2 linked regions of the Caenorhabditis elegans genome follow. The protein of the gene in region 2 purifies or fractionates together with the protein of the main gene of each other region. This does not show direct contact. Each region holds a gene or a part of one and is shown on either strand. Other genes may lie near its edges.

Region 1 (11,852 bases), on a different chromosome or scaffold from region 2:
TTTAGTTTGTAATTTTTTTTGAAAGCAATAATGATAATGATAATCTCATTATCAAAATATAATAGGTAAACCATTGAAAATTGCGTACTAATACAGAAAACACATCACGAAAATTTGTACTTTGTTCTCTTTAAATTCGAAAAAATGTTAAGCTACATACTTGTCATTTTAAATTGCGAAAAAATATGTAATCTCCATCTTTCAATTTTTTTTGCATTCTTGGGGTTCGATTCTAGATGATCAAGAAGATCATGGCATTGTTCGAATCTGAAAATAATTGCGCGTAAAAAGTGTTTTGTCTTCAAAGTTGGGTAGAAAATGGTGACACAACCGATTGTCTACTTCTTACTTTGTCTTCACTTTCTTCAAAGAACCACCAGTGATGGCGGTGTAAAGCAGCTTACTGTTTGAATGTCTATTATTCTTACGTAACACGCAGCGACTTTTCCCCCTCTAACCACTTGATGCCTTGACTCATCAACAGGTCTTCTTTGTGAAAGCATTATAAAAAGTACTACGAACGACTGACAAAATTCAAATCGCTCAGTTCTTAGCATTCCAAAAAAGTATGCAGACTCTTTTTGCCGTTCTTGGTTTTCTTGCAATTTTGGCTGTAACAGATGCATGCTTTGCATCTGGAATTTGTGGTGGTGGGTGTGCTCCGCCACCACCTCCAGTGTGCTCGGGAGGTTGCGGAGGAGGTTACTCCTGTGGAAGATATGGCTGTGCAAAGGCGAGAGGATCCAAAACTCTTTCAATCAAGAGTGAGGTGAGAAATTTCGATCATTAGAAAATTGAGGTTTCCTATTAGACTTTGATAAAATGCCTTCCTCATATAATTTTTTATTTTCAATATTTTTCTATAATATATTTTAAAAGCTTTTGCTCAATACTTTAAAAAATAATCCTAACATCACGTCATTTTAAGGAAGTTCTGAAACTCCCAAATTCCAGAAAACAATGTCACCAGACGAGAAGTTTATGAGATGCTGCCAGGAGAGAAATCTTCCAGATGCCTGTCTTTCCAAGTGTTCCTTCCGCACATACACCAAGACAGCTCTCCAAGCCATGTACTTCAAGCAAGACTACTGCCCAATGCAAGCAGCAGCAGATATTCAATACTGTGCTGCTCAAGGGCAAGATCACACTGACTGCTGCTATAGAAACTCGGTTGGAACCACATTGGCCGGAAACAAAGTAGGTGTGATGGACTATAAAACTAGTATCGTAACGTTCAAATAACCCCCAAAACGAACGTTTGAAAACGTCTTTTCTTTGACGAATCTGTAAATTCAAAGTATATTCCAACCGATTAATTTGAAAATTTTAGTGCTTCACTTTCTGCGACCAGCGTCCAGGAAACGTCACACAACTTGACCTCTCCTACTTGGCTTGTTACGATCGTTTTGAGAACATGAAGGCCTGCTTTTGGCAGAAGCTCAACGAGCAATCCACCCCAGAGTTCTCATCTAACATCGATTCAGAGTCCGAATTCTCTGAGCAAGGACCAAACAGACACTTCGCACTTACCTCATCCCGAACCTTCCAAGCAAGAACTTTCGGTCAATAACTTATAAGTTTTAATACCTCTATGCACTGAACACTTGATTGTAAAAATTGCCGCTCGTCACAGTATTTAATATTTGTTTTCAATTCAGTAAATTTTCGATAAATTTTTACCGTTGATACGATAAGTTTTTTTATATGCCATTTCTATAGGTCTAGCTATTATTGCACCAACTGGTTTTCAGAAAGTTGGCCTACGCTCCCAGGGGCAAAAAATTAGGGACATTCACTTTAAAGAGGCATTATTCAAAGAAAAAATTGGGGGGTCATTGCTCTTAGGGGGCATTCTGAAAATTCTCAAAAGGTCATTTAAAAAATTTCAGAGGGTTATGTTGTCTGTGTATCTCTACAGGCTCACCTCTCACTACAGGCTCACAGGCTCTCTATGGGGAAAAACTGTTTAGATGTTGTGACATAGAAATTGTATGTACCAACTATGCTGATGTACCAAGTTGATACTACCAAGTACCAACCAGCATAGTTGGTACCTTTTCAATCTTTATGACGTTGGTCAGAACGTGAAAGAAATTTATGAGGCTGAAACAATTGTAGTTTCACTAAAAGCCGTATTTTTATTCAGTACACATTTGAACAATTTGCCCTCTGTGAGATTTTTAAAATGCTTATTTGTGAATTTTGAGAATTACCCCTAAGAGCAAATAGTTTTATCCCCATAGTGATCTTTGCGAAACCCCCTAGCGTACTTTTAAATTCATTCAGCCTCATGCCGTTACATCAACCAACTTGGCTGATGAACCAACTACCAATCAGCATAGTTGGTACCTCTTCAATCTTTATGACGATAGTCGGGCTACCTCATGCCACTATTGATTGGACGTGAGAAAAGTTTACGGGGCTGAAAAAATTGTAATTCCTGTCAACTCCGTTGAACTTTGTTCTTACATGATTCCATCCCATCATTATGTTTTGTTTTCATCCCAACCATTCGCCCCCTCCACTTTAGCTTGATAGACAAATTCCAATCCCCCGCTTTGAAATAGTATAAAAAGCGGGAAAAAACCGACCCAATCACACAATTTCCTTTTCATTTTCTTTTCATTATTTTTACCATACTTTTGCTCTTGTATCTTTTATTGATCTTTATTTATCTTTATATGAAATGGTTTAATAACCCAAGTTTGAGGTACCTTTGAAAAACCCCCCAACGCGGTGACTGAGGAAAGGAGAAGAGTTTTGGAACTCTTTTCTGTACAATTCCATCAAAATTTTTACTTTCAATCAGTTTGCATTAAAAAAATGCCTTTTGAGATTTTTACAATGAAGATTTTAAAGATTTTTGAGAATGCCCCCTAAAAGCAATGACCTCTAATACCACCTTTGAGTGATGCCCCCTGGGAGTGTGGGCTCAGAAAGTTACCTAGATACTTTTTGGGTGATATGTTCAAAATTTATTCAGAAGTAAAAGTATGATACAACTCACTGGGGCCAAAGTGTTTTTGGTGAGAATTGACGGAAGTTAGTAAAGCAAATTATCATTACAAAGTTGTCATTAATAAAAAAAATAATGGAAAATTCAAGAAATCAAATAAAAATGTAAGAGAAAACTTGTAAGTTTCAAGTATTTCCAATTATTATGATGTCATAGGTTTCCAAAAAGTGTAAAACAATTTGAGTAAATCAGCACTGGAACATTATGAAGATCAAAACTTATTAGTAGGATGTAAAAATTTAAGGTGGGATGAGAGGAGAATCAATTTGAACCGAGGAGAATTTGAACCAGTTCCTAATAAAATTAAAACTGTAACAAAATAGATCACTAACAGAATTTGGACAATAAAAAACTTACAGAGATATACGGTATTTGAAAGAAGTGTCACAAAATAATTCTTGAAACAGAAAATTTGATTGAACAGAAAACTTGATTATGTTTTCCGATCATTTGACATTACTACCAACTCATTAGAAACGCCCAGCACGACGCTGTCTGTAGTAGAACGCAAAATATGGAACCGAGTTGGCTGGTTCCGTTGGTCTGTTGATGTTCTGCTCGTAAATTCTGTTGTCATCCGCCAGAAACACATTCTGCAAAAAAAAGTAAAATTTAGTTAGGCAGCTTACAAGTCTTAATCGAAAGCAAAAGCACACTGGATCAAAACCCATAACCCAAAAAAAAACAAACGAAGCAAACTTTCCACGTCCATGCTTTTTTTAACAGAAAATGTGAAAATTTAGAAAAATATGTTAACTCTTGAATTGCTAATGTGAGTGAGTTTGGACAAATTTTTTAGTTCTGAAATTTGTGAGCCAAACTAAAAGTTCCCATGAAAATTGATAAAACTTTTATCAAAACTAAAGGTTTTTTTAAATCGACTTTTTTTTGAAAGCACAAGTGATTGGCAGATTTCAAACTCACTGTACATACACTATCCCTTCACGTTCTGAAATTCGAGATTACCCTCACTGTAAGAAATTGAGAAAATAATTTAGAAACAGATGGTTATATTTTACAAAATTTCGATTTTCATAACACAATTACACATTAGAACTTTTTTTTTGCCAGTTATCAAGTTTTTAAAATTTGGAAATTTTGTGTGAATTCCAAAGAATTGAAGCGTATGTTGCGAATTTTTTCGTGGCGAGTGAATATTTTATGTAACTTTTTTGGAAGTCACCAGAGTATACCGTTTTGTAGTTTTTATGTACAAATTTGAAAACTTGCCAACCTAGACAATGTTTGGCATTTGAAATTTTTTTCAGCAAACGGAATTTTCAGCATTTTCAAGTTGAGAAAAATGCCATTATTCACTTCAGGTTCCACTCACCCCGTGATGATAAACACGTGCCATATAGTGACCGCTGCTCTCATCGCGAAAACAATTGAACGTTCTGAAGTAGATGACACCACCAAGGTGAAATATGTCAGGCTCGTCGTTGTTTACCGAAATTGGTGAAAAATCTTCAGTTGGAAAGAACTCCAGCTCCTTTCCGATATGTCTATTGCCATCTTGGAAAGTGTCCACGGAGACGAGGATGACATCAGGAAATTCGTATCTAGTGGTTTCTCTACATGTCGTGTTTTCCTGGAATATTTGGCAACTATATTAAAAAAAAATATTATGATTAAATCTGCTAGTTCGGTTACAAATTAGAGCAATTTTTTAGAAGATATTAGACAAGTGAATCCTGAATTTCTTTGAAGTCCAGGACTGTAGGGCAACAAGTTTGGAGTCTTGATAAAATAAATTTTCCAGCTTCCAAACCACCATTTGGAAAAATGTGTGGCAGTGAATGGATTGGGCTCTAGATTTGACGTCTGAGCGTTTAATGTGAGTATGCCGTTAAGTTATTCACACCGTAAACGATAAATATTTCGAACTATGCTTCGTTAGAAGGTTAGTTTATTGCCAAGCTGCTACAGCATTACCGAATATTTTGATCTAGAATCAAAAGTTCTCAGTTTCTCAAAACACATTGCTTAATTCAGGTTGACTCAACGTTTTTGAGAAGTTAATGGGGCGTTATCAGAATTAACAAAAATACAAGATCTTTCAGCACTAAAATCTAAATAAACTTGCTTTTAAATTACTGATTATTCAGTTACGTGTTCCACTTACACATCCGTCATGCTCCCACGTAACGATTTCATTTCCAGTTACCGCCAGCATGGACTCAATGTTCGCAGCTGTAATCTCAAGATCTGGGCATCTCAGTTGAACTCTAGGACTCTGAAATCAATTAGTACATGTTTGCAAATCAATGAAAAGCGGCTTACTTTATCATTTATTTCTCTGCATTTGCCACACTCGTGGCAGACGGTTTTGTAATAAGCGGAAACTTGTCCAAATGTCTCGTCGTAAAACTCTTTGGAAAGTTGTCTGGAAAACGATTTTGGAATTACTTCAAAGAACAGTTTGGAGTTCCAAAGTAGGCAGACGCGAATTCAGGTCCGGGCGCCTGCCGAAACCCTGAAACCCCCTAAAAGAGCATTTTTTAAGGTGCATTATACCTATACCAGTCTTCAGCATCTTCACGGCACTTTCCATTAAATCCTCCTGGAATACTATTAAGCAGCTTTGAAATTGAAACACGAGGCCAGTCTCCTGAACCGGCAGCTGGAATAGAATGAGCAGCAAATTGTGCAACTAGCGACTTCATATGCATGTCCAATTTCTGAAATGTTATTTTTTACCAGTTTAAAAAATTGCATTTGTCATACGGTTTCTGCAATTTTCTCCTTGACATATCTCACAAATGGAGGGCAGGCAAGAAGAGCCTGGCAAACTGAAATGGCAAAGCATTCGAGGCAAGAGTTATAGATTGGCTGAAAAACAGGTTTTCGCTGAGAAGTTTGTTTTTACAAAATGAAAAATCTTACAGCTGGCTTTAATATCGGTTTGTTTTCGAATAGTGCAATGACTTTAGGATTATTGAAAATATCTTCGAAACGGCCTTTATTTACAGAGATCACATATTCCATAGTGATATTTGTTGGATCTGCTCGTTTGGCTTTGAGGTTCTATCAGGTTGTCCCATAAGTTTTTGTACTATTTTTTTTTTGAAAAAAATTTATTTCTCTCAAGCGACAAGTAGTACTATTCACACAAGTATTCACCATTAGTGTCCACCACTTGTTGCCATTTACTAGGTAACATCATGATGCCACGGGAGAAGAAATCCGGCGAACGCGATGAGAAGAAAGTGGAGAGTTCAGTTTTGAGATGCTCTTCGTCGTCGAATTGCTTGTCGCGCATGTAGTCACTGAGAGACAAGAACAAATGGTAGTCGGTTGGTGCAAGATCTGGAGAATATGGTGGATGCGGTAAAACAGTCCAACCAAGATCATGCAGCTTTTGGAAAGTCTTCTTGGCGACATGAGGCCTAGCATTATCGTGAAGAAAATATAGTTTTTCATATTTTCCGTTGGTCTTTTCTGCAACTCGGTCCAATTGGGCACAATAGTAATCAGCAGTGATAGTTTTATTAGTTGGCAACAATTCCCAGTGCACGGGTCCTTGAACACCCCACCAGACACAGATCATAATCTTTTTTGGGTGAAGATCAGGCTTTGGCGTCGGTATTCCTTTCTCACCGATCGGAAGCCATTGACGTTTTCTGGAATGGTTAACATAGAGCACCCACTTCTCATCTCCAGTAACCAGATTGTTCAGCCAATCGAACTTTCGACGAAAAGTTAGAAGTTGAGTACAAACGTTGACCCGAGTGAGCTTCTGTGATGCCGAAAGTTCATGAGGCACCCAAATTCCAAGTTTTGAAGTAAAACCAAGGCGACCCAAGTGACGTGCAATTGTGCTATGACAACACTCAAGCTTCTCTTCCATTTCACGAAGACTAAGACGAGGCTCTTCCTCCACCAGCTTCACTAGGTCTTCTTCATTTAACTCTACCGGTCGCCCAGAACGTTCTATTTCTTCGAGACTGAAGTCGCCGTTCTTGAACTTTTGAAACCAACTCTTTGCTGTATTATAAGAGAGTGCTCCCTCACCCATCGCACCGCATATGTTTCGTTCCGCTTCCATTGCTGAATGACCAAGACGAAATTCATAAAGAAGAAGCAATCTAACGTCTCGACGTTCAAGTTTGATGATTGTCATCGTGGCAAAGTAGAAATGGATGAAATGAATCTTTTCTGAAAGGGGACGACCCGACCTTGACACGACCTACGATGAAAAAATTTTAAAACTTTCTAGAAGTTTTGGAAAAATATTTGAAAAAAAGTACAAAAACTTATGGGACAACCTGATATAAAACCAAAAGTATACGCCTTAGTTTCAAAATTTCTAACAAAAAGCATACTTTATCAACATCTCTTGTTCCGTCTCTTCCGCCCTTCATTCGATTCTGGCAATTGGAAACTGACATACGCTGAATTTTACCCCAAATTGATTCGCCACCAATGTGCTCAGCATTGCTGAAAGTTAGTATTTGTACTGTTGACTGTCAAGTAAAAAAAAACCTGTTCACATCAGTTTCACACGGAGACGACTTTTTCTTGAAAACATCACGGAGCTGAAATCAATAAAAAGTTAGTAAATTTGGAGATCTTGTAGATGCGCATTTTTACAAATTTGTCAACAACTACCCTGCTCAATGAATTCGTGAGCCTCGACTCCTCCAAGAGACGAGTCAAATTCGGAACTGGTTTTATTTGCCTCAATTTGCAATTGTTGTTAGGAAGGTAGCATTTCCAGTTACTGTAAAAATTAAAAATATGTGAAAAGAACAAAATTGGTGTCAATTCTACCATTTGTGTTTTTTCTCTAGATATCCGGTGTAGAATCCAGACGGGGGCATATTTTAAAATGTAATATAATGCTGAAATTAAGTTTGAATTGTTCTAAAAAAAAAAAACAATAGAGTTACAAATAAAAAGTCAAATTAATTTGGAAAAATTTCTAGCAGGAAAATACAAATTTTAAAATAAAGTATTTTGTAGTGTGAATTTATTTAGGAAATTGCCGAAAAGGAAACATGCTTAAGCTCTGTACATAACAAAGCTGTAAGTTTAAGTAAGCTCCAATTTCAGCCATTCCACATATGGTTTATCTATTACTTCTGCATATGGCTGATCTACTACTTCAAAAGCTAGACGGATTGCTAGACCAACCACCCAATTTTACAATCATCTGCAGTCAGAGACTGTTACAGAAATTGAGCGTAGAGAGCCAAAGCCACCAAACTTGTAAACAATTATGCGTTGGCACATGAACCGTCACGACGCAATAGGTGCCGCAGCTGAACAGTTGAGAAGAAAAAAGATATTGAGAGGATTCGGAGTACAACAAAAAATAAGGTAAAAGGCAATTGTCACTAATGACAGCTTACTCGCAGCTGGAGAATTTTGTGGGGAGTTCCCAATAATTCCCAATTTACATAGAACTGAGTGGGAAAGTATGTGTCTGAACTTTTTTTTCGACATAAATTAACAAAAAATTAAGGAGTAGATTTGATTAGATATTGTTAAGAACGTTTGTTAAAACTAACATAATACTTTTTAGATTTTTTTATACCACATAATAACAGAGAAACCGCCTCAAAAATTGAGATAGAAATAGCGAAAAGAAAAAAATCTTTGCCATCACATATGGCACAGATATTCTTATGAATGAAGAAATCGACGCTTTTAGCTAAACATGTACCACCCACATCACGCGATAATCTAGAAGACTGTGCATATGGACTTTCTATTTTCAAGAGGAGCGCTTGGAGAAAAATAGGGGAAATTGGAGTTTGAAAGCAGGAGGCAATTGTAACATGAATCATACTATCAAACAAGTTTTTGTAAATAAAATCGATTATTGGCAGGAATCAATAGAGACGTCAATTTGTTTCTATGAAGGAATCGGGTTTTATTCAAAATTTGATTTTTATTTTTCAACTACAATACTATGTTTGGTCATGTGGGCTGTCTTAATCCGAAAGTGCAACTTTTTACTATAATGTTTCGGTTTCAACGTGTGTCGTACTATACTAATACGTGCGTTTTTTATTAGTTTCAAGCTTAAAAATGTATTGGGGCTCCGTGGAATAGTTGATCCCACAATTTGGCTCATTTTCGAAAATTTGAATTCTGAGTTGATACCAGGGGTGTGCGGCAAATCTCAAAATTTGCCGAGCTCGGCAAACGGCAAATTCGGCAAATTCGACAAATTTGCCGCACAACCCTGATTGATACGCCAGTTTTGAAAGACAATATTTGAAATAGAGGTTTTTTTAAACCGTATATTTGCCGATTTTACAGTTTGTGTATATCCTGTATGATATTACACCAGAAACTTTGGTAGAACAGGTAACCAAAATATTGTTGAACAGGTAACCAAAAAAAAAATTTATAGATGTAAATAAAATACTAAAGATGTATAAAAAATGCAGAAAAAATGCAAGTTTTTGATTTGCCTATAAATATGTTGTAGTAGAAGGAGACTGTGAGAGTGATGCAGTTATCACGAGGATTTTGATTTGAATGTGCAATTGACCAATTCAAATGTCGATGTATAGGGCATCCACAGTAATGAACGGAAAATGATAGGAGATAACATTCAATTCAGTGGTATGGTATTGGTGTATAAGATTTGAACTACCTAAACTCTTCGGTGGTAACAATTGAAGTAGTATTTAGGGGTTCAAAAACATGTAGTAGTTTATTGAAAGCTTGAGTTAGTTTTTGTTAATTAAGTTATAGCTGTTCAAATAATTTGCACGATTTTGAAAGCTGCTAGCTCTGTTATTGAAAAAATTATTTTTCCAGACAGCAACAATTGAGCAGGAAACTATGAAGCATTAATTATCTTCAAAAATCTAGAATTTTAAACGCCGGATAAAACTGAACAACAGATACATTCTACGTAACTTTTTCGATAGACCACCATTCACGTCAATAGAAATTTCGAGAAAATAAAAAAAAAGCAACACGTGAAGGGTATAATTTGCGGCGCTATCACACCCGGTTAACATTTATGTGACAAAATTGAACAGTTAAAAAAAATGGCTGAATTAAATTCTCAAATTCTCCTTTAGATTTAGGATATCCCACAAAACTTATTAGACCATAGGTGGATTTTTCGTTGTTCTAGCGCTTCTTGAATTTTTGTTTTTACAAAAAAATATTTTCCTCAATTATGAAACTTAGCCAAATATATCGCTGCTGATAAAACAAATAAATGAAACCACGAACTATCTCTTTTTGAATGAAATGAGTTACTGGTGAAAAAATACATGAGTGGAGAAATCATGGTAGTTTCACAACTGTTCTAAATGGTGTTGGACGAGAGAGCATACCTGTATGAGAAGCTCCTCTAGACACCCCATGCTCAAAAAACAAGAATAGCCGTGATGTTTGAAGGGGGAGTGACGAACTATTGGAACTTGCTTAAAAATATTCCATGGTACCACAATAAACAAATATCATAGCAAAAAATCAAAATTCTTTTATAAATTTTATACGATTGTTTGAAAATTGGAAAAATATTAGTATTTGCCTAATTCATACTTAAATTATCGCCAAGTGAATTCGTTCGATAGAGCGCGTTTGTACGATATTATTTTCTTTTATTATTTTTTCATATTTTAAAAGGCTGCATATAGTCAATCTATAATTTCGAGGTTTTGGCAAAACGCCATATTATTCATCTGATTTTACCTTTAGCCACTGATTTATTACAATAGTTTTGTATCTTCAATATATTTTCATGAACTCTTTAATGTTTGTTTACAACCGTTTTAATTGGTTACGAGTTTTGATCTCAAAATTCGTAAAAACTGTAAAATTTTAATTTGAAATTCTGAAAAAAAAATGCATTGTTGCATACATTTTCTTAACTGTTAAAGTTTACATCTCTTTGAGGTCTTTTGTAACGGTGACGTCATTGTAGTGTTGGTGTAGTCTTCACTGACAGTTTTGTAGAATAGCTCAACATTTTCTGTAACTCTAAATCACGCTACATAGTAAAAACACAAAGTTTTCAATGATTTATTGAATAAAAATATTAATAATTTGGGTGGGTCGTTTAGTCCAACCGGTATCCTATTGCAATAATGCACAGGGCCAGGAAAGAAAAAGAGAATCAGAAAAAAGGGATGAGGGGAAGGGACAAGTTTCGGACATTTGCAGTTCCAGTAACATTGATAAAAAATGTATATAAAAGAAATTTTCAAATTTTCAAAATAGGGAAAATTATTAAAAAAGGAATATTATTTCATTTTCAGAATCCACACGAAATTTATTATGGGGGTGAATAGAACGGAATCGCTAGTATTCCGCTGATTACCGGGACAGCAAAAGTAGATTTCAGTGGGTGGTGTGGGAGAGAGGAGACAGTTTTCAAAAACTGCGGACTAGTGAAACAGTATAGACTTGGAGATTCAGGAGTCTGTCACAAATGAAATTTTTTTAAGGAAGAGAATAAAAACAAACGAAAAAGATTAAAACTGATTGAGGGAGGGGAACGTTCCAATTTGGGCAAGAACAATACGGAATTCAAGGGGAAGGGAAAAAACATATCAAAACTAGTCATGAAAAACACACAATTTTGTAATTCGATGGAAAGGGTGATAGAGTAAAACATTAAAACATTGAGGGAAACAAACCGGCAAAGGAGAAATTTCGAATTCATAAAATATTGACTACAATTCCAAGTTTAGCGTCATTCAAATGACCAATGACCTTAGGGGGATAATTCTATTTTCAAACAACATTTTCAGAAAAAAAAGTTAACTTTTTGCAAAGCCATAACCTAAATGGCCTTACAAAACGTTTAAGGGTACAAAAACACAACAAAATTAGCTCCAAATGGTACTTTGCAAAAAAA
Region 2 (11,349 bases):
CATCAACTATTGAGGTTTCCAATAAAAGAGAAGTTTAATATTGATTAGTCGAGTGTTGATTAAAATCAGCAAGATAACAAGCAACGAACAAATTATTAAATGATTTCTGACTGCAAACATTGAATATATGGTTCAATTTCGGTGATATTTTTAAGACTCCCTGTTTGTGGCGAAAACTGTAAGAGGTCAATTCATTACTTTGGTCTCTTGTCTAGTCTTTGAGGTCCCCTCGCTATGTGCCTCTTGGCATTGCCATGTGGCAAAGTGAGTGGGAGCAACAAGACGGACAACACATTGTGTGAGAGTGGAAAATAAGATCTTTATTCTTCTGTTTGTGGTCGAAGACTTGGAGATCTTGGAGAACAGACTGGTAGTAATACCAGCTCAATAAACTGTATTATGAGATTATAATCTTTTTCTACAATAAGGCACTGGTCTACGATTGTTAATAGTATTTCAGATAATGCTATTGAAAATTAGAAGCGGACTATATTGAACTGCAGTAATTGAGTTTTCGTTCTACCACTACACTTCCAACAAACTTTAGCTTAAACTAGTTTTGAAGTTAAAAATTTGAATGTTCGATAATTTATTTACATGGAAATATACAAAATGAGAATGCAATTAATCGAACATTAATTGGAACTTGTGGAGTTGAAACGGGGAGCTCTGGAACACCAATACCTCCAAGGTTATTGAGAAGTTGAGTAATGATGAAGAGAATTGTGTTGAATTGCTGAAAAATAAATGAATAGGAGAGACATTAAAGAATATCTTACAATTTCATTGTTTTCCTTCAATTGATTGATAGCTTCTTCTTTTTCTTCAGTAGTTTGATTACTTTCGACAATAGTTCTCAGTTGTTGGAGAACATCCACAAGACTTCTGATGATTTCAGAAGCTTGTTCAAATAGTGATCTAAGCAATTCAGAGACACCAGCTACAAGTTGATTGAGAGCATCCTAAAATCACAGAATATAAGAAGATTAATAGAGTATTGACTTACTCCGAGAGATGGATTTACGGCATTAAGTTGAGAAACAACTTGTTCAATTGGTGTATTAGCAGTTATTGAAGATAGAATTTCTTGAACTTTTTCAAGATCTTGATCGGAAATCTGGCTAACGAAATTATTCAAAAGTGTAGTTATTTCAGAGTTATTTCCAAGGAGTGGTAATTGCAAATCGTTTGAAGGTAGATCAAGAATTGTCAATAATCCATTGACTGCATTTTGATTTCCACCAAGAAGTCCTCCGAGTATTCCATCATCTCCAAGGATGCCTCCAACACCTCCTACTTCAGGAACTCCACCAATTCCTGGGTTTCCTAGATTTCCTCCCAGAAGTCCTCCTAATCCACCTTCTCCTAGAATCGGAATAGCTGTAGACAGTGCAATGGAAGCAACGAAGACAAGAGCAACTTTTGACGAGCACATTTTGAAATAATTATTGTTCAGTTAAAAATTTAACTGGGAATATGAAAGTGAAACTGATGACTTTACTCTACGCTCACCGCTACTTTTATACAATTTTTCCTGTAGACAAAGGGCGAAAATATTTTTATGATTTTTGAAATTCGAATTAGGCAAATCATTGTTAAATCAAAAATTGACATTTTTATCAAATAACTTTCAATGATCTGAAACTACTATCTGTCTGGAATAACATATGATGGCATTGTCTGCTGTTCGATGACCATTTCATTTGAATATACTGTCGAGTATTGAATAATAGTTTAAAAAAACAAACATGTGCTCAACAATCAACTTTTGTTTCTGGACAGTTCCAGTTTATATTTCAGAGATCGGAGCAATGCAACAGTATAAAAGTTGAACAGACTGTGGAAACTCACATCAACTTTACAAAATGTGTTCGTCAAAAATTGCTCTTGTCTTCTTTGTTTCCATTGCTCTTTCTACTGCTATTCCGATTTTAGGAGAAGGTGGACTTGGAGGACTAATCGGAGGAAATCTAGGAAATCCAGGAATTGGTGGAGTTCCTGAAGTAGGAGTTGTTGGAGGCATCCTTGGAGATGATGGAATACTCGGAGGACTTCTTGGTGGAAATCAAAATGCAGTCAATGGATTATTGACAATTCTTGATCTACCTTCAAACGATTTGCAATTACCACTCCTTGGAAATAACTCTCAAATCACTGAACTGTTGAATAATTTCGTTAGCCAGATTTCCGAACAAGATCTTCAAAAAGTTCAAGAAATTCTATCTTCAATAACTGCTAATACACCAATTGAACAAGTTGTTTCTCAACTTAATGCCGTTAATCCATCTCTTGGAGTAAGTCAATATTCTATTAATCTTTTAATATTCTTTATGATTTGAGGATGCTCTCAATCAACTTGTAGCTGGTGTCTCTGAATTGCTTAGATCAGTATTTGAGCAAGCTTCTGAAATAATTAGAAGTCTTGTAGATGTTCTCCAACAACTGAGAAATATTGTCGAAAGTAATCAAACTACTGAAGAAAAAGAACAAGCTATCAATCAATTGAAGCAAACCAATGAAATTGTAAGATATACTTTAATTCTTCTCTATTAATTTATTTTTCAGCAATTCAATACGATTCTCTTTATCATCACTCAACTTCTCAATAACCTTGGAGGTGTTGGTGTTCCAGAACTTCCCGTCTCAACTCCACAAGTTCCAATTAACGTCTAATTAATTGCATTCTCATTTTGTATATTTTCATGTAAATAAATTATCGAACATTCAACATTACCCAATTTTGTTGCATAGCAAAATAATTTTAAATGTAAAATGATCAAAGTTCAACTTGGTCAAAAGAACAGTAACGAACACAAAATATTTTATTTCAAACCGGATTAGTACAGAAACCGCAAGTTTCAGCGCATGAGAATTCGGCGGCAAGTGGCGGTTGTTGGGTGCACATTCCGTTCGTGGAGTAGGTAGAGCATCTGGAAGGTGAAATTTCGAAGATTTTAAAATCTAGGACACTTGTGACGTCACTCCTCTTCCATGACCTCCCCAAAACTCACTGGCTCTTGGGAAACCTGTCCTTACATGTCCCATCATCTGACGCCACCTTCCCACACAAATCCATAGTCGCCGCACACATCACCTTCAGCTGAGCAGTGTCATAAATTGAGCAACCCTGCTCTTTTGCACTTTTCAAAGAAAGACACGTGGCTTTGTCGGATGTATCAGCACATGCGGTGACGTTAGAGTCCACTGAAATTTATGGAATTAGCAATAGAGTGACACTGCGGCCTGCCTTGTGCCTACCCCTACGGTTTTTCGGAGAAAATAGGCAGGCAGGCCTAATTTAGCGCTTACCGTATCGATATGACCATGTGTACGTGGTTTTGTAGTACCGATTAAAGCTGAAGACGGGCATCGGATTGACACCGAAGTCGGCAGTCATGATCTCAGCGTTGAACTCGTCGCAACAGTACCTGAAGGTTTCGAGGTTATCTTTCGTGCAAAAATATGGCTACCATGATCTACCATGATCCATGATCTACCATGATCCAGAATCTACCTCGATCTACAAGGATCTACCATGAGCCAGGATCCACCATGATCAACCATGTTATATCATGATCTACCATAAACTGCCATGATCTACCATGATCTACCATGATGCACCATGTTCTACCATGTTCTACCATGATCTACCATGATCTACCATGATCCTAACTTACCTCGCCTGCGTAATTGTCATGTCACTTTTCAACTTCGGTTCAACTCCATTAAATGTGCACCCGTAGACACATTGGGTGTTGTACGTGGAATCGATTCGAAATTGAATTTGCTTACCGACAGGCGCCTGGAAACCTTTTTTTTTCAATCAAGATAACTTTTCCGGCTAAAAACCTGAATCCAATGATTACAGTAAACTGCGCTTGGTCTCGCTGTGGCGGAATTTGACGCATTCCCAAATGTATACGTCTCCTGCTGCCACGTGTCAGTTGCAGTCAAAGTGCTTCCACATCCGTAATCTGTTCTTTCAGTGCACAAGGCTCCACCAAAACCGTACGGGCAAATGCAAACGGAACAGTTTGCAGGGTTCGTGAAGCCGCCATTTCCACAGCTGAGAATTGTTGGGCCTGAAGGGTTAGAGTTGGTTTTGGTAGTTTTCGGTAGATCAACTCACAAGAGCAAGAGTAATGCGTGTTGAGCATTTTCAAGTCCAGAAAAGTCACAATTCGTCCGCCCATGGTGTATACCATCACCGGATCTTTGGGCACTATGGAATCAACTCCGCCGGATGAGACAAACCTGGAAAGGCCTTTCAGTGGGGTACTGTAGGTAGGGTTACTGTAGTGGTATTGTAGAGTTATACTGTAGGGTACACTGTGAGGATACTGAATGGTTACTGTAGGGTTACTGTAGGGTAACCGTGGGGTTACTGTGGGGTTTAACAGTAGGGGGTTATGCTGAGGAGGATACTGTAGGGTTACTGTTGTTACAGTGAGATCGCTGTGTGATTGTGATTAGTGTAGGGTTATACTGTAGGGTTACTGTACGGCTAGGTTGCAGGGATACTGTAGGCCTACTGTAGGGTAACACTGTAGGGTTACAGTGCAAGGATACTGCAGGGTTTTACTGTAGGGTTACTGTAGGGTCATACTGTAAAGTTACTGTAGGGTTACTGTAGGGGCTCCACTGTCGGGTTACTGTAGGGTTGTTCTGAAGGGTTATTCTAAATGGTTACTGTAGGGTTGTTTGTACCGTTACACTATAGGGTTGCTGTAGGGTTACACTGTAAAGTTCCACTGTAGCGTCGTACTGTAGGGTTACTGTAGGGATACTGTATGGATACTGTACCAGTACACTGTATGGTTATATTGTAGGGTTACACTTTATGGTTACATTGTAGGTTTTCTGTAGGGTCATTGTCGGGTTGCTGTAGAGTTGTTCTGAAGGGTTACTGTAGGGTTGCTGTAGGGTTACACTGTGAAGGGTTACACTGTGTTGTAGGGTTACAATGTATAGTTACATTGTAGGGTTACTGTAGGGTCACTATCGGGTTACAGTCGGGTGACTGTAGGACTACACTACAGAATTAGACTGTAGGGTTGCACTGTAGGGTTACTGTAGGGTTACTGTAGGGGTGCTGTCGAGTTACACTGTATGTGCTTCATGAACAAAACATACGCTCTTCCCGAATAATGCATGAAGCTTCCATATTCATAATCAACGAGGTTTGTCGATGTCGCTTCAGTCAATTTAATAAAGTTTTGTTGAGAAGACTCCGGAACATCGGTAAGATCAATGGTGACATAATCATCACGATCGGATCTCATCTGGGTGTGAAATAGCCCCAAAGTGTGGGCTATCTCGTGAGCCGCCGTGCCGGTCTGGAAACTTTGGGTGAAACGAAAAAAAAATTTTTTTAAATAAGAAATTTATCTTACCACTTCACACCCGTAGCCCAGTGATAAGGTTTGCTCCCCTCCGAGCATTCCGGTGTCTGAGTAGCATCCAACACCGCTGAAAATCTGAAAATTTTCAAGTTTTTTGTTTGAAAAATGTCGGCTGAAGTAGTTTAGAGGACCTTTACTCGATTTGTGGCCGTGCTATTCAATTCGAATTTCAAGCATGTATTCGATTCCAAGAACGTTATCGCATCACGCACAATTTGCTGAACTGTCGTCGTAAGACCCGAATCGAAATAATAGTACACAACTTTTCCGGGCCAGAATTGAGCCAAGTTATCGATTTGACGCTTTTTTCGTCGGGATTTTGAGGACTGTTCAGAGGAAATTTTCGCGATTTGGTTGCTGTAAAAGTTATCATTCAAGCAGCGGGTACTGTGTGGTTTGTGTAGGGTTACTGTAGGTTTAATGTAAATTTACTTTGCGATTACAGTAGGATTACTGTATAGTTTATGTGTGCTGACTGGAGGGGAACTGTAGACTTTATATAGGATTACTGTAGTGTAGGGACGCTAGTAATACTATTCACTGATGAATTACTGTAGGTATATTATAGGGTTGGTTTCGGTTTACTGTATCAATACTGCAGTGCTATAGAATGGTAGATGCAGGGTTACTGTAGGGTTACTGTAGGGCTACTGTATGGTTACTGTAGGGTTACTGTAGGGATACAATAGGGCTACTGTAAGGTTACTGTACCTATCCATTCCGCACTTACTTATTCAAATTGATGTCTCCTTGAAACAAATACTCATTCAATCCGGCCCGTTCATTGACTTCGAACATGTCCAATGCTGGTGGATTCTCGGTTATCTTCACTTTTCGATACGATTTGTGAAGTTTATTCGATTCCTTTTTGGTAATTTTTGGAATTTTCATCATCTTCTTTCCCATTTTCTTTAGCTGCTTCTTTCGTTTTTCTGGAGGGACTCCGCGGAGGGCCTGGAAAAAGTTGAAAGTTCAGGGTGGGCGTTCAGGGTGACCTAGAATGTTCAAGGTGCCCTAAAAAGTTCAAAATGGCTCAGAAAGTTCAGGGTGGCCTGGATACTTCAGGGTGGCCTAGAAAATTCTGGGTGGCTTTAAAAAAATCCCAAGTTACCTTCCTCAACGACTTCCTAGCTTCTGACTTTAACTTGTAAACTCGTGGAGACGTTGTAGGTGCACTAGTGGATGTAGTTACAGTACTTGTTGGAGTAGCGGCCGTCGTGGAGTTGATTCTCGAATTCCAAGTCCATTTCCAAAAGTACGACCCGTCGGGCAGCTTGGGTACCGTTACTGTCTCATGTTCAGGCTTTCCGTTCTCATTTTCGAATTTCCAGTCGAATTTTCGATCTCGTTCTTCTTCACTGTTGTTGTCCTGTGAAATTTTGGTTACGACGCTCCATTTTTTGGCCTAGAAATCTGGAAAACTCGGCCACCAATATATAAGTTAACTGGGTGGTGACCAAGCTTTCTCAACTTCCCGGGCACGTACCAAACCCGAAGTGGGCAATAATTTTCAAAAAGTTAATACACTCTAGTGATTAAAAAAATCCAAAAAAACCTACCTTATCAGCTAAAATAAAATCTAGAAAAATACTCAAAAAACCGATATAACAAATAAAAAATCGACGCATTCAGTGTGTGAGAGACATTGGCCACAACAGTCCAACTCTCCCCACGCCGTGGTATGTTTTAATCCCGCCATATGTCTTTTTATCCCTATTTAAAGTTCAAAGCGGGCGTGGAAGAGGAAACGTTGGTTTGTTGAGTAGCTCGGCCACCGGGAACAGGCTAAAATATGGAAGAAGCCATTGTGATTGATTTTTATTTTCATAAAGGTTTTTTTACAAAATAATTAGAACATATAACATATACTATAGTTCACTGTCGCTTCTTTCCCTCCAAACTCTTCCTCGCGATTTTACTATTCGTAGCTCTCTCCGATCGATAATCCACGTCCCAGATCGCCGCCTCGGCGCCTTCCCACTTATTCGGACCATTCAATCTGAACACATATGGAACACACGGGCCAAAGTATACTTTCCAGGCTGTCAAGGGCTTCCACATCCAGAGAGATCTCATGTCCGGGTTGCATCCGATGATTTCACCAAGTTCATGCATATAGGAGGCATAGTCGACTTGAATAGTGTGACGACGACTTGCCACGTAGCGAGCACTCATGATTTCTCGTTTTTCGGCGATGTCGGTCAGCATCTGAAAAATATTTTTTATTAATCTAGTAAATTTAGGACCGAGGAACTTTTTTTTTTCTTTTGGAGAAGAGACGCAGAGTTCTTAACTTATTTCGCATGGTTAAAAACGTGCTGACGTCACTTTTTTTTGGGCAAAAAATTCCCGCATTTTTTGTAGATCAAACCGTAATGGGACAGCCTGGCACTACGTGGGCTTAGGCTTAGGCTTACTAGGGAATATTGTTAATAGGGGAATTGCTAGGAAGACAAAACAAACTTTAAATGACAGGTGAAGCTACAAAAATCATTTTTTGGAATCTGCTAAACTCTGCCCCAAAGCTGAAATTTTCGGCCTTAAAAATTAGTGCCCTTCCCTAGTTAGGCTTAGGTTTAGGCTTATGCTTAGGCTTAAGCTTTGATTTAGGTTTAGGCTTATGCTTAGGCTTAGCCTGAGGTTTAGGCTTTGGCTTAGTTTTAGTTTCAGGTGTAGACCTGGCGTCAGTGGCGAGCGTTAGCTCGCTACTGACGCTATTTAGGCTTAGGATTAGGCTTAGCCTGAGGTTTAGGCTTTGGCTTAGTTTTAGTCTTAGGTTTAGACTTAGGCTTGGGCTTAGGCTTAGGCTCAGACTTAGGCTTGCAACCGGACTTCGATCTTTTTTTAAAGATTTTATGGATTTTCAGACCAAAAATTAAAAAAAAAATTGAAAATGTTAAATTTAGTTGGAATGAGAAAAAAAAATCGGTCATTTTTATGGTTTTTTTTTAATTTTTTTGGCTTAAAGTTATTTTCTAAGCAACACTGTACATATTTATCTTCGCGCCTACCGCCTATTTCCTGCGTTTTTGCGTAAACTCCGATTTGGTGGTTTTGAGGTTCACAACCTCGTCACACCTACCTGATCTTTACTCGGAAGCTTCATCCCATTTGCAAATGACTCCATATAGACTCTCGCCTGCATCTCACTGATCGGCATAATCGATCCCAAAGGCTGAATCAACCCAATCACCGCCAAAGTATTATGGTCAGCAGTTGCCAGAGGAAATACATACTTGTAGATATCCGACTTATTCTCATCGACTTCAATCAATTTTCCGCCCTCGATCATGTCAAAATGGTAGGAGAATCCAGTGGCAAGAATAACTTCATCGACTCCTTCCACAAAAGATCCATCATCGAATTGAACGCCTGTCTCGGTGAATGACTTGATTCCTGGCTTGACACGAACGGTTCCACAGGCAATTCGATTCGGCAACTCGTCGTTGAGGGTGAGATGAGCTCTGCAAGATTTTACACGTGTTAAGAATATATATAGTCACAAAATTTGTATAGCGCTCATGGTACAGGCTAACTACAAAATGCAAAACTGAGAAAAATCAGAAGTAGGAGTGGACAAGGCTCAAAGTGGCAGCGCATTAGCAACGTATCGTGTCGGTTGAGTCGACGCTCAGTGAAATGTACGCTGGCGCGCAATTGGAGCAATGTCTCAGCGTAAACTCTGGAGAATATGTCTACTAACACGGAGCAAGACATATGTATATACATAACACCAACTGGATCTGGCAACCCGGGCGTCCAATTTCCGAACTTTCACTCCACGTTCCATATATTCCGGTTTGCCAACCCTAGTTCCGACACTATCAGATGCCAAGACCACCGTATTTCTTTGTAGGAAAAGGAAAACTCACGCCATTGCCGCATGCTTCGGCTTCAATCCATACTTCTCGTGGTCCACCTTGTTGTTCAAAATTCTCTCGAAATTCCAGTTCATAATTGAGCTGGGGATCATATCAACTAGCTGCATTTGGAATTTTCTAAAATTTTCTATTTGAGGGGTGGCTTATAAACTAAAAAAAAACATACGTATTAAAAACCAGGTCGACCGGTTCTCCACGATCAGAAAGTCGGCTGAAAATCCAGCTTCCGCGTCGAGTGACCAGGTAGACTTGTTTGCCGATACGACTCAGCTCGACTGCACAATCACCGCCGGAATTCCCGATTCCAACGACAACAATCACCTTATCCTCATAGCCTTTATGATCCTTATAGTCATGAGAATGAATAATTCGGCCTTTGAATTTTTCCTGTCCTGGCCATGGTTCGGGAATGTGTGGGATCGCGTGGTGTCCGGAGCAGATCATAACTCCGTCGAAGATCTTTTCGTGGAATTTTCCGGATCTGAAATTTGGAGAAATTGTGTAGGCTTTGGATTAGGCTTTGGTTTGGATTTAGGCTTAGGCTTAGGCCTAGGCTTAGGCTGAGGCTGAGGACGAGGCTTAGGCTTATGCTAGGTTTTTTTTTTAAGTTTTTTTTAGTCTTGTTAGGCTTAGGCACAGGCATAGGCTGAGACTTAGGGTTATGCTGAGGATTAGGCTCAGACTTTGGCTTAGTTTTAGGTTTAGTCGTAGGCTTAGACTGAGGCTTAGGCTTAGGCTGAATCTTAGGCTCCGTCTTAGGCTTAGGCTTATGCTTACATCACGGCTATCGTTTTTGGTTTTTTTGTTGGAAAAAATGATTTTCTGGTTTTTCGGACCAAAAGTCGAAAAGTCAAAAAAAAATAGCAGCATATAAATTTTTTGTATTTCGTTAAAAGCTTGTACCTACTTCACACTGTACCTACATCATGCCTACCTCTGCGCCTGCCGCCTATTTGAAGCCGACAGACCTACAATTATGAAAACTTACTCATCAGTGTACCGAACCTTCCATTTTCCAGTGGTACTGTAATCATGATTTCTCTCAATCGAAACCACACTATGATTGAGCTTAATATGCTTCAGAAGCCCATAATGCTCGGCGTAGCTCTTCAAATATCTGCACATTTCTCTGTTATGCATGAAGTTTGCCATAGTGTCTTCCGGCGGGAAATCCGAATATGCGGTCATTTCTTTGGACGTATTGATTACAGTCGACTTCATAACGGTTGACACTGAGAAAAATTGAGCTTGAATTTTTGAGAAAAAAAATTGACTTACGGTCCGTTTGATCGGGCTTAAAGTTCCACAGTCCTCCGATATCTCCGGATTTTTCGAAGCAGGTCACTTCGACGTTTGGGTGAAGCAGGGCATGTCTGGAAAAAATAGAAGTTTCAGTTTTTTTTGCGCGTAAAATGTGGTGTACTGCAGCTGTGAACCTCACCGCAATGCACTATATTTTACGCGCAAACTATTACGGAAACGCCAAAATTTTAAGAATGCGTATTGGACAACATAATTGACGCGCAAAATATCTTGTAGCGAAAACTACAGTAATTTTTTAAATGACTACTGAAGCGCACACGTTGATTTACGAGCTCGATTTTTGAAAAGTGACAGCGATATTACATTTAACTGTGTTTCTTAAAGGAGGGCGCATTTATGAGAAAGGGTCTCGCCACGCGCCATTCATTGATTTTTGGAGTGCGTGGCGGGACCATTTCGAAAAAATGCGCCCTCCTTTAAGGTCGTACGAGTGAAGAAAAAATGCACTGTAATTTCAAATTTAAAAAAAATTATTGATAAATAAACTTAAAACAAGTAAAAAAGTGAGCCCGTAAATTGACACAAGCGCTACAGTAGGAATTTAAAGGATTACTGTAGTTTTCGCTACGAGATATTTTGCGCGTCAATTATGTTGTCTAATACGCATTCTCAAAATGTAGTGTTTTATCTATTTTTCTCTTCAAAATGAAGTTTTATATTCAGATTTTCACATTTTTAGGCAAAATTTCAAGAAATTTTTCATTTTTATCACAAGAAAAAAACGGTTAGGGTATAAAATTGGT

The links.
Region 1: the proteins of nas-32 (region 2) and F35B3.3 fractionate together in Caenorhabditis elegans (co-fractionation; one large-scale study listed by BioGRID). This does not show direct contact.

What each region holds. Positions count from the first base shown.
Region 1 is NC_003284.9:17,009,449-17,021,300, reverse strand, and holds F35B3.3 (USP domain-containing protein), read right to left. Parts: upstream 7,840-11,852; coding exon 7,790-7,839; intron 7,740-7,789; coding exon 7,628-7,739; intron 7,555-7,627; coding exon 7,502-7,554; intron 7,457-7,501; coding exon 7,342-7,456; intron 6,005-7,341; coding exon of another isoform or gene 5,903-6,004; intron 5,849-5,902; coding exon 5,744-5,848; intron 5,698-5,743; coding exon 5,534-5,697; intron 5,403-5,533; coding exon 5,300-5,402; intron 5,253-5,299; coding exon 5,142-5,252; intron 4,608-5,141; coding exon 4,350-4,607; intron 3,610-4,349; coding exon 3,487-3,609; downstream 1-3,486. Other genes in the region: dbd-20 (DB domain-containing protein), read left to right, coding at 569-769, 955-1,197, 1,331-1,570.
Region 2 is NC_003283.11:892,103-903,451, forward strand, and holds nas-32 (Zinc metalloproteinase nas-32), read right to left. Parts: upstream 7,086-11,349; 5' UTR 7,031-7,085; coding exon 6,962-7,030; intron 6,772-6,961; coding exon 6,514-6,771; intron 6,357-6,513; coding exon 6,133-6,356; intron 5,760-6,132; coding exon 5,534-5,759; intron 5,478-5,533; coding exon 5,394-5,477; intron 5,337-5,393; coding exon 5,134-5,336; intron 4,255-5,133; coding exon 4,130-4,254; intron 4,083-4,129; coding exon 3,850-4,082; intron 3,803-3,849; coding exon 3,678-3,802; intron 3,429-3,677; coding exon 3,310-3,428; intron 3,205-3,309; coding exon 3,012-3,204; intron 2,931-3,011; coding exon 2,828-2,930; 3' UTR 2,807-2,827; downstream 1-2,806. Other genes in the region: srlf-23 (SXP/RAL-2 family protein Ani s 5-like cation-binding domain-containing protein), read right to left, coding at 590-736, 780-962, 1,007-1,435; srlf-20 (SXP/RAL-2 family protein Ani s 5-like cation-binding domain-containing protein), read left to right, coding at 1,866-2,294, 2,341-2,523, 2,566-2,673; fmo-5 (Flavin-containing monooxygenase), read right to left, coding at 7,278-7,610, 8,485-8,866, 9,275-9,400, 9,450-9,764, 10,272-10,515, 10,562-10,656. UniProt on the Caenorhabditis elegans protein: Metalloprotease.